Linked DNA regions of Canis lupus familiaris. The protein of the gene in region 2 interacts with the protein of the main gene of each other region in a pairwise test. Links are inferred from orthologs where the notes say so. Each region holds a gene or a part of one and is shown on either strand. Other genes may lie near its edges. The genes, in order: MAD1L1, USP15 and TRIM21.

Region 1 (3,748 bases), on a different chromosome or scaffold from region 2:
TGTGCACACGCACAGACCCTCCAGACCCGAGGTGGGTGGTTGACGTGGGGAAGGGCCTTCAGACCCTGGGAGGAGGGATATGTGCAGACCCTCCAGACTGTGGGTGAGTGTTGTGCACAGACCCTCTAGGCTGTGGGTGGGTGGTGTGTGCAGACCCTCCAGACCCTTGGGTGTGCATATATGCAGGCCCTCCAGACTCTGGGTGTGGGCCTATGTGCAGACCCTGTAGACCCTTGGGTGTGCGTATATGCAGGCCCTCCAGACTCCGGGTGTGGGTGTATGTGCAGACCCTGCAGACTGGGTGGGTGGTGTGTGCAGGCCCTCCAGACCCTGAGTGGGGGGCAGTGTGTGCAAACCTTCGGGGCACAGTGCAGACCCTCCAGACCGACTGCTCAGGCGGGGCGCGGGGGTTCAGGGAGGAGGAGGTTCGGAAGGGAGTGAGAGCCCCGTTACTGGATGAGGGTCTCAGGCCGTCTGAGCTCACGGGGCCCTGGGAGGATAGCCGAGTATTTTGCTTTTCCAGTGATCCCGAGGAAAGGAAAGACGTACTAATTCAAGCTAACACACGCTGTAGTAGAATTTTGGGAGTTGTCAAGAACAGGAAAGTTTGGCCCGAGGAGGCCACCGTTGGGCGGTGCTACTCCGCACAATACAGCGCGAGCGACTGCCCCAGTGGAGGTCCGTCCCGTTGCGGGAGGCGGGCCCCCCCACAGACCCGCGGGCCGGCCTCTGGTGAGAGTCCGAGTGCGGTGTCCCGGGGCGGGCGGCTCTGGGGCGCACGCGGAGCTGCAGGACCCGGGCGGCGCTCGGGCCCGGGGCTTCACGGTCGGCCGCCCAGGTCTCGCGAGAGCGCGGCGGCACGTCTCGCGATACGCGGGCTCGGACGCCGAGGAGGGAGATCTGAGCGGCAGCGGCGGCGAGCTGCCGGGGCTGGGGCTGAGGTGAGTGGCCGGGCGCCGGGGTCGCCGGTGGGCGGATATCCGAGGCGGGCCCGGCCCCCTGCCCGCTGGTCTCTCCCCGCCGTGCTCGTTCCCTCGGATCCAGACCGGAGCTCGAGCCGGCTTCGGCGGCGGCGGTGCGGAGCGGGGTCGGAGCGGGGGTCGGAGCGGGGGTCGGAGCGGGGTCAGGGCGGGGCCGGGGTCGAGGTCGAGGTCGAGGTCGAGGTCCGAGCGGGGTCATAGGGGGCCAGGGGTCGTAGCGTGGCCCGGGTCGGAGCGGGGTCAGAGCGGGGCCGTGGGGCGGGACCGGGCAGACCCCACCGGGCGCCTGGGGTCCGGCAGAGCCGCCTGGGAGCCGGGGTTTGCAGCGGGGCGGCAGGGCCCCCCCGCCCCGAGTAGTGCCCAGGCCAGGAAGGGCAGCCCAGGGGTGTGATTTGCAGCGCTTGGGTTTCCGCGGTTGGGTTGAGGATTGGAGTCTCTCGGGTAAAGAGGACGGAGTTTGAGGACTGCCTAAGCGCATCCCCAGTGCAGCGCCTTAGTTCCAGGCGGTTGAAAGCGTGTGCGCTCTTCGTTCCGGGGGGAGTTACACGCATCAGCTCTTACAGGGGCGCCTCTCCGGACCAGGACTTCCCAGCTTGACTTCCCATCACCGGTCGGAGAGTATGGCCCCGTTCGGAAGGGTTTGCTTTCTAGAGTGGACCTCTGCTGTCCAGTGCAGCTCGGGCCTGCATCTGCCGCGGCCCTCAGCACTCTGTGCTTGCATGTCCTGTTCCGCCTTCTACTCCAGGTTTCCACATGCAGTGTGATTGCGAGGTCGAGAGGACAGCTGTGTTGTCTGGGGTGAAAACATGGCCTACAGAGGAGGGCTCTGTGTGCATAGGGCCAAGGTTCTCCCCAAACGGAAATTCAGAGTCAAACTAAGATTCCTCACTTTCTTTCCTCCTCTGGGGGGAACGTGGGGAGGTGTTTTCAATCTAACGCTCAGAGAAGTCCCGGTGAGCTGGCCTTTTACCTAAGAGGTGCCTTTGCTTGTTAACTGCACCTGAGATGCTTCCTACACACTGGTTGGCAGGTGTGAGGCCACCGTCAGCACAGGTTTGGGGATGCAGGTTTGGAGTTGGTTTTCTTTTCTTTTCTTTTCTTTTTTTAAAAATATTTTAATTATTTATTAGAGAGCAAGAGAGAGAGGACAAGGCAGGGAGGGGCAGAGGGAGAAGCAGACTCCCCGCTGAGGAGGGAGCCCACCCTGCAAGGCTCCATTCCAGAACCCTGGGATCAAGACCTGAGCAGAAGGCAGATGCCTAACCAATGCCCGGGGGGTGCTTGTGCTCTGCCCTCTGTGCCCTGGCTTATGGAGCACACCGGACTTTAGAGCCACACAGATCTGGCTTCTGGCCTGTTCTGTAACTTTCTGAAGCCTCGCTTTCATGGTGTGTGAAATATGTGTAGAAAGACCTCATCTCCTGTTGTGTGGCCTGAGATGTCCTGTGTGATGTTATAGGCAGAGTGATGAACTATGGCACCAGGCACCCCCCCATCCAACTTATGATGGATGCTGTCATCCTCACAACAACTGTGCAAAGTGACCCTCGTGACCGTACTTTCCAGATGAGTCCACACTGCCAATTAACTTCAAAAATGTGGCTGTGACACTGGAGTATTGTCAGGATTCTGAGGGAGCATTGGGAGAGTGGGGCCACCCAGAAGTGCCCCTGCCTAGACCTCTGGTAGAGCTAATGGTGCCTGCAAAGGCTCACCGTCACCCCTCCCTGTTTTCCTCCAGAAGCAAAGTGGCCATGGATGACCTGATGGAAAACACCACTGTGCTGTCCACCCTGAGGTCTCTGAACAACTTCATTTCCCAGCGGGTGGAGGCAGGATCTGGACTGGATGCTTCCACCCCTGCCCAAGGTTCTCTGCAGATGCAGTACCAACAGAGCATGCAGGTGAGTGCCGTGTAGCGTGAAGGGGTCTCGGGTGGAACATGTGTGCCCTTGACAGTTCCTTTTCCAGTTGCAAGTAGTCCAGGTGAGTGCTCTGTGTGCGGAGGGCTCTCCAGGTAAAGAGAAAGATTGGGTGTGTCATGGTCTCTGATTTTGGGGACCCATTTGCAGATTTTGGCCTCAGTCTGCCATGATGTGGCTTTTACAGTTTTCCTATAAGAAGTCTTACTTCATTTCACTTTTTTTTCTTTTAAGTATTTATTCACGAGAGAGGCAGAGACATAGGCAGAGGGAGATGTGGGACTCGATCTCAGGACTCCGGGATCACGAACTGAGCTGAAGGCAGGCACTCAACCACTGAGCCACCCAGGAGTCCCTCATTTCACGTTCTTAGAAACGCTTACTATTGACCATGAAGGTCTCCTGGAGGACTTGAGGTTCCACAGAGTTGTAGGGTCAGTCTCATGGGGGCAGGGGTCACTGGGTCCATGTGAGGAGGAGGTGCTGTCTGCAGCCTGGCCCCTGCCACTGTGCACTGCCGCCACATCAGGCAGCAGTCCCCTGCTTGTGCAGCTGGAGCCAGTCTTTGGTAATGGCCTGTGACAGAGCCAGTGGTGTCATGTGGCCCTGGGAGCCCTGAGGAGCCCCAGGCAACATTTGGTAAGAGAAATGCTCCTGTGTTTTTATGCATTCATTTGCTGAATGTTCAAATATTTTTTGTTTTTTTAGTGGGCTGAGTTGCTCACTACCATTTTTTGGCAAAGACTTTTATTCTGAAATTGTTTTTTTAATGTTTGTGTTTTGCCTAAAGCACTTTTTTGGAAATGATGGTGGTTTTTGTTTGTTTTTGTTTTTGTTTTGTTTTTG
Region 2 (3,648 bases):
AGAGAGATGTCTGGTTGAGATAGAAATTGGGCAGTGAGTTCTATGACAATGATACTGAATGTCTTAGAAGGATGAGATTCCCTAAGGCTAGGGTGACTCTGTAATGTATCATCTAAACTAGAACTCTTTTAAAAATAAAAGGGGCCATTATTAATCATTATATTACCAGGACAGCAGGTTCATCCAGGGCTGAGACAAAGCAAATTAGAATATATTGTCACCTGCTTTAAAGAGAGCATATAGAATCAAGAAGGGGGTGAAGGGTAAAACTCTAAAGGAGTTTGACAACCTTGGTAATAGGTTAAATAGATGAGGACAGAAAGCTAGGGGTAGATTGATAAGTGAATGGAAAGTGAAGAATTTAAGATAGTCATTATAGACATTACTTTTAACAAGGTTATATTTATAAAGCAGAGGAGAAAGGAAGATAACTAGAGGGGGATTATCAGAGGGAAGGCAATGAGAGACTGGGTTTTTGCATTTTGTTTTTTGGTTTTTGTGGGTTTTTTGAGAGACTAGTAGATTATTCCATTGCTTACGTAAGAATCAAGGTAAAATGACATAAAGGATGATTCCTGGGTTAGGTTCCCAAGGAAGTAGAACAGGATGGGAATCAGAACATAGATGCTAGTGGTAGCCTTAGATGGGAAGGGTAACATCTGATTCTCTTTCCCTGTGTAGAAAAAAGATGGAGAAAAGGACCTTTTAGAAGTTTGTTCAGGGACACAAAGTTGGATATTTTCCTATCCAGTAGCCTCTACTTTTTTTGGTATTCTGCTGATAGTGAAGGGAGAAATTGTAAAATAAGGAAGCCTAAGGAATGGTGAAGATTGTATATAGTTACTGGGAAAAATGAAAGAAGAAGCAAATAAGGGATGCACAGAATTTCTGGCTAGTGTTGAACAATCTGTTAAGATTTAAGCACTGTGGATTTGTAGCAAACCAGTCTCTAAAATTGGTCAGTTTTCTCCAGCATATCTGAACAGCTCCAAGAAAGTATAGCAAGAATAAAATTGAATAACAAAATAGTTAAACGTTTTGCAGTGGAGTATTGAAGTGATGGATCCTGTGGGATCTGGATGGAAGGGCGTGAAGACAGTAGGAAGCTGGTAAACCCAGAGAAAATTAAGAATTAAAACTAGAATTCTAAATGCAAGCCAAGAATGGGAAAATGAGTTTCCAGGAATAATAATTAGCTGTCAGTCAGTAGCCTGATAAGAGGTTTAAGATATCAGAGGTGGGGCAAGTTTATGACAAGGTGCAAGAAGTGAACTACAGTTGAATGTAAGTGTGGGTCTCGGAATCAAAGAGCGAAGGAACGATAAGGCGAAGATAAATTATCCATATAGACATTATCAGCCAGGGGGACGCCTGGGTGACTCAGCGGTTAAGCATCTGCCTTTGGCCCAGGGTGTGATCCTGGAGTCCCGGGATTGAGTCCCACATCAGGCTCCCTGCATGGGGCCTGCTTCTCCTCTGCCTGTGTCTCTGCCTCTCTCTATGTGTCTCTCATAAATAAATAAATAAAATATTTTTAAAAAAACAAAAAGACATTATCAGCCAGGATTAATGATAGGATTGGAGACGGACACTGTGAACCAAATACCAAGCGAATGTGAGGAGGCAACCATGAGGTCATTTTCATCTACTGAGTATTTCTTCCAAAGTAATAAATTCATTACAGCTTTTTTTGTTTTTGTTTTTTAGTACAAAGTGGTTGTCCCCAAAATTGGAAACATACTTGATCTTTGTACAGCATTGTCTGCTTTGTCAGGAGTACCTGCAGATAAGGTAATGTGTTTCTGGGTTTGAAGTATATAAGTTGGAATTTAGTGTTTCAGTGATGTAAAACCAGCCTAATAGAAATATGTTTCCTTTTAGATGATAGTTACTGATATATACAATCATAGATTTCACAGAATATTCGCTATGGATGAAAACCTTAGTAGTATTATGGAACGGGACGATATTTATGTGTAAGTATAAAATTCATTGTGCAAAATATTACTTGGGAAAAAATTCAGAGGGAATAACATAAAAGTTTTCAGAGTTTTACAGTCAGTTTTGTCCTTACAGGTTTGAAATTAACATCAATAGGACAGAAGATACAGAACATGTGATTATTCCTGTTTGCCTAAGAGAAAAATTTAGACACTCAAGTTATACCCACCATACTGGTTCTTCACTTTTTGGCCAGCCTTTTCTTATGGCTGTACCACGAAATAATACTGAAGATAAGCTCTATAATCTCCTGCTTTTGAGAATGTGGTAAGTGTCACACAATTCTACATTAACAAAATGAGTGATAGAATAGTTAATAAAAGTAAATACATGGTGTACTATCTGAATATTTTGGTAAGCTTGTATTATTTCAACTTTGTTTAAACAGGTAGCAATTTTAAAAATCAAATTATAGTTTATTTCACTTTCTTGACCATGTAAAAACACATTACTGAGGTAATTGCAAACCCAGAAAGCATGAATTATTTTAGCTGTTTTAAACTAGAAGTTTACAGTTGGAAAAAATAGGAATTTCTCATGTATGCACTCTGAAATTTTAACAAATTTCGGATGCTTCATTTCTTTATACAGATTGTTAGTTCAAGAACTCCTGCTAATGGTTTTATTTAAAAGGATAAACTTTCGGGCAGCTCCCGTGGCGCAGCGGTTTGGTGCCACCTGCAGTCCAGGGTGTGATCCTGGAGACCGGGGATCCAGTCCCACGTCGGGCTCCTTGCATGGAGCCTGCTTCTCCCTCTGCCTGTGTCTCTGCCTCTCTCTCACTCTCTCTGTGTTAAATAAATAAATCTTTAAAAAAATAATAAAAATAAAAGGATAACCTTTCATGGTTGATAGTATTTTAAGGCAACCCCTTTTTGTCTTCCTAAAACCTTGATTTGAATTATAACATAACCAGACTGCCATTTGATCCCTTATATTTTATCTTTTGTAACTGGCATATTTAGTAATACCTATTTTAATCATTACAGTCCCATAATCCATATATAAAGATCACATTATACAGTTAAAAGTAATCTAAATGAGGGTATTTATATAATAATTCTAAGTCAAGAAATTATTTGCCACAAACTTATTTAACACAGAAAGGTGTTAAATACTTGGAAGTAACAAATTACCTTCTTTCTTTTTATAAAGACAACCAAAACAGAAATGATTAGTCACTTGCACTTATGGTTCTATATCCTAAGTTTGATTTATCCTTGAATCTACTAAGTGCCCATTGAAAATTTTTGTTTTACTGAAAGAATAGAAAACTTTAAGTTTTTACCTTCATAGAACTAAATTTGATTTCTGATTTTATTTAAGCCGATATGTCAAAATTTCTACTGAAGCTGAAGAAACTGAAGGATCCCTACACTGCTGTAAGGACCAAAATATTAATGGGAATGGCCCAAATGGCATACATGAAGAAGGCTCACCAAGTAAGAATTCCCTATTAAATTATAAAACCTTTCACCTGGATTGTTGCCTCAGAAAAAAAGATGGGAGTTAAGGAGCTAAAAAATCTCTTCAAGCCTGGGAGAAATAATGTTAATATTAATAACTTTTAAATGTAGCTCTGGGTTTATTTAAAGATTTCTAATATCTAAAATTAGGTGAAATGGAAACAGATGAGCCAGATGATGA
Region 3 (3,748 bases), on a different chromosome or scaffold from region 2:
AAAGGTGCCGTCATGTTTTAAGACTAGGCTTAAGGAGCAGGAGCTTTAGGGTATGGCTTGTACCTCTCCGAAGGGTATGGCACCTTCTCCTAAGACTCTTGATTTTGCTATCTGATCTGAGCTCTCTCCTTTTTATTCACCTCTATCAAGAGACCTAGAGGACAGCTGGTTCATGGTGAGTGAGATATATTATCACTCCTCAGATGGGCATAGCTATGCTTAGGGTTTGAGTCTGGGGCCCTGGACTCTGCCCTGGCTTCTGACCTGAGATTCCCTTTGGAGCACAACACTTGCCTTCCAGGCTGCTCTCTTCATTGCAGTATTCACTTCCAACTCCTCAGCCAACTTTTGTTCTTTTCTCAGTTTCCTTAATGCCACCTTAAGCTTCTCCTGCAGAGAAAGGTAGGTTAGCGCCCGACCAGTCCAAGAAGTAGGGTGAGGCGCCATGAAGACATGCTGGTTCTTTGAAAAACTTGAGTGCAGAGAAAGAGGGAAGACTACAGTCTGATTGGGATAGAGATTCTGGGGATGGGAAGACTTTGGCAAGAGCCTGAGGTTTCTTTCAAAACACAGCCACGCTGTTGGAGGTGGTGGTGTGGAGTTGGAGCATTCCTCATTCCTAATTAACCAGAAGGCCACAAGGAAGTGTGATCCTTGCAGCGTTTTCCCAAGCGTACTCCCTGGTCCTGGGGAATGAGAAAGCTGTCCTGAGCTTGCAGTTCTCTGCTTCAATTAGACCTGGAAGGTGGGAAACCCCTTCCTTTTCCCAACCCTGAAACTCCACAGGTGACTTTGCCTCCCTCACTCTGGAGAACAAAACCCCAAGCACGGACCCAGCTCCCTTCTACTTGGTCAGGCCTCTGTGCTAAGTCCTTACCTGGTATTCCTGAGCAGCCTCCTCGACAGGGACCGTTTTGTGGTTACGGTGGTTCTGGGACTGGGAACATACCCAGCAGAGGATCTTCCCATCTTCCTCACAGAACAGGTGCAGTCTCTCTCCATGTACCTGACACCATTCCCTCTGTGTGACTTCATTGGCATTCTGGCCAATTTGTTTAAGGTTGTCCACCACGTTAGCCAGTGGCCAATTGGGCCGGAGGTTTCGGAGCAAGAAGGTGTGCTGACACACAGGACAGACGCCGCCACCATCTTTCCCCACCTCAGAGATGCATTTGTGGCAGAAGCTGTGGCCACAGTCAATGCTCATAGGCTCCACTACAGGATCCAGGCAGATAGGGCATGTGACCTCCTCCCACATCATTGCCAAGGGCATTGCTGCAGCCATAGGGGTGATGTTCTTAGTAAGCAGCACTGTGGAGATCCTGGGGTACCCTGGTGGGGAGAGGAGAGAGGGAAATGAGCAGAAGAGAAGGGTTGTGTGAGAAGAAAAACAATCCAAAGGAAAACACAAGGAACAGTGAAGTGGAAGGGGTGAAAACAACACCAGAACATTAACTTGAATAATAAGAGCTTCTCCTCTCTAGTCTCATCCACTTACCTAGTCAGACAGAAGGGGAAACTGAGTCCCCCAAAGAAACTGAATGTTGTTGAGAACTTCAGAGATAAAGCTGTTTATAACTCTATTTTCATCATGGCCCTCTCTGCTTCATCCTCTGTCCCAGGCTTTTCCTGTCCACTCTCTGCCCTCTCAGGTCACCAGTCCGCTGCTGAGCAGCTCATCTGTATGACAGGGACCATGTACTCTGTACACTCCATAAGCCAGAGAAGGTGCTACCTGCTTTGGAAATATCTTCATTATCTGCACAATAATCACAGGAGTTACTTCTATATCTGTGATTATATACATAAGAATATATTTCTACATATCTGTCTGTATGTATATATACCTGCAGGTATATGTGTGCATATGGGTACCTGTATATGTTTATATGCGCACATGAACAGTGCCTGAGCACTCCCTGGGCTCTCCTCTCCCTTCTGGGAACCTGGTAGCTGGCTTCATTGCCTCTGGGGCACAGACCCACAGGTTTCTAGCGTCTGAAACTGTCCTGCCCCCTCTCACCCCCAGAGGAGAAGTGTCGAGGGGAGTGCCCGGACTACACTCCGGGCTGGGCTAGGTTTCTGCCCCGGTGCCCCCCGCTTAGGGCAGCGCCCCCGGGGGCTTGGGTGTCACGTTCACATTTGGGGCCCCGTCCCAGGCAGGCTGCCAGCCCGGGAGGAACTGCTGGGGCTGGGGCTGGGACTGGGGCTGGGACTGGGGCTGGGGCTGGGCTAGCCCTGGGGGAACCGGGTCTGCAGGCCCCAGGGGCGAGGACTAGATGGGGCAGGGGAGAGAGGTCCCCCAGCCAGGGCGGGGGCACTCGGGTCGGGGCGAGTCACTCACCTTTTCAGGGCTTTCGGCAGCCGGCGGCAGGCTCCCTATTTCACTTTCGATTTCCCGTCGAGGCGTGTCCGAAGGGGGTGGGCCGAGGGGCGGGGAGTGGGAGGAGAGGGAGGCGCGAGGGGCGGGGGAGCAGGCGGGGCAGCTCGGGAGCCCCAGGCGGCAGGAAGTCCGAGCTCCGCAGCGTCAAGTCCTTGCTTCGCGTCCCCTCCCAGGTCCTCGGGGTCAAACAAGAAAATATCGCATCCACGGTGGAGGGGTCACGCTGCCTCCTCGGACACTGGTCGTCTCGCTCCACACCTACGTGCTGGGCGACGCCCACGAGTGGGAGCTGCTCTCAGGGAGTTAGGGAGGGTGGGATGGCGACAACGTGCCTGGGGCTCTCCCTTACGTGTCACCCTCTGCTTCCAGAAACAAGTCCTTTTCAGGAAAGGCTTGATAGTCTTTTAACATCAGCTGGTGAGGGATTTATGTACAGCACGATCCCAAGGCAGGTGTCATACCAGTGAATGGTAAGAAGAGAATTGACATTTATTAGGCACCAACGGTGTACTTGTCACTGAGCTAGGGATTTTCTGAGGTTTTCTTTTTTTTTTTTTTTAAATTATGGTAAAACATATGTAACAAAATTTACCATTGTAACAATTTTTAAGTATATAGTTCAGTGGCATTAAATGCATTCACATCATTGTATCCCCATCCGCACCACTCATACGACTTGTTTCATCTTGCCAAACTGAAATTCTGTTGCCTGTTAAACAGTATGTTCCCTCAGCACCCAGCAGCTACATTCAATTTTCTGTCTCTACGAATTTGACTTCTTTAGGTGCCCCCAACGTAAGTGGAATCATATAGTATTTGTTGTTTTGTGACTTATTTCACTTAAAAGGTCCTCAAGGTTCATCCATGTTGTACAAGCATGTGACAGGGTTTCCTTCCTTTTAAAGGCTGGATAATGTTCCAGTGTTTGTATATGCATTTTGTTTATCCACTCATCTGTGAATGGACACTTGGGTGACTTCCATCTTTTGACTCTTGTGAATACTGTTACTGTGTCAGGTTACATATTTAAGCCACATAACGATTTAGTGATTTAGGAGATGTTAAACTCACATTCCAGGAGAGGGCATTGAGTCTGAATGGAGTAAAATGACTTGAGACATAGTAAGAGGTGCATGAGAGTTAAAGGTCTAGGGAAGACCGTCATTTTAGTGACAGCCCAGAGATAACAGGCTGCCCTGTCAACTCAAGCAGAGACTGTGAGGAGGAAGGAGAAACAAGGAAGGGTGAGGAGACTAGAATTCTCAATTCCTTCCGACTCAGACATATTTATTTTTGTCCCTGTATACCTTAAGATAAAAACATCAGTTGAACTTTGCTTAATGTTTTCTATAGATTTAGGAAACC

Evidence for each region.
Region 1: the proteins of USP15 (region 2) and MAD1L1 interact in binary tests that used the Homo sapiens proteins (3 or more experiments, as listed by UniProt). The two-hybrid records come from large-scale screens. The link is inferred for Canis lupus familiaris from reciprocal best matches to the Homo sapiens genes USP15 and MAD1L1.
Region 3: the proteins of USP15 (region 2) and TRIM21 interact in binary tests that used the Homo sapiens proteins (3 or more experiments, as listed by UniProt). The link is inferred for Canis lupus familiaris from reciprocal best matches to the Homo sapiens genes USP15 and TRIM21.

The regions. Positions count from the first base shown.
Region 1 is NC_049227.1:15,032,385-15,036,132, forward strand, and holds the start of MAD1L1 (mitotic spindle assembly checkpoint protein MAD1), read left to right. Parts: upstream 1-1,458; intron 1,459-2,721; 5' UTR 2,722-2,734; coding exon 2,735-2,884; intron 2,885-3,748. Other genes in the region: proline-rich protein 2-like, read right to left, coding at 592-1,458. UniProt on the Homo sapiens protein: Component of the spindle-assembly checkpoint that prevents the onset of anaphase until all chromosomes are properly aligned at the metaphase plate.
Region 2 is NC_049231.1:5,982,312-5,985,959, forward strand, and holds part of USP15 (ubiquitin carboxyl-terminal hydrolase 15), read left to right. Parts: intron 1-1,707; coding exon 1,708-1,791; intron 1,792-1,881; coding exon 1,882-1,976; intron 1,977-2,076; coding exon 2,077-2,268; intron 2,269-3,327; coding exon 3,328-3,443; intron 3,444-3,617; coding exon 3,618-3,648. UniProt on the Homo sapiens protein: Hydrolase that removes conjugated ubiquitin from target proteins and regulates various pathways such as the TGF-beta receptor signaling, NF-kappa-B and RNF41/NRDP1-PRKN pathways.
Region 3 is NC_049242.1:26,907,295-26,911,042, forward strand, and holds the start of TRIM21 (E3 ubiquitin-protein ligase TRIM21), read right to left. Parts: upstream 2,464-3,748; 5' UTR 2,345-2,463; intron 1,333-2,344; 5' UTR 1,286-1,332; coding exon 878-1,285; intron 391-877; coding exon 265-390; intron 1-264. UniProt on the Homo sapiens protein: E3 ubiquitin-protein ligase whose activity is dependent on E2 enzymes, UBE2D1, UBE2D2, UBE2E1 and UBE2E2.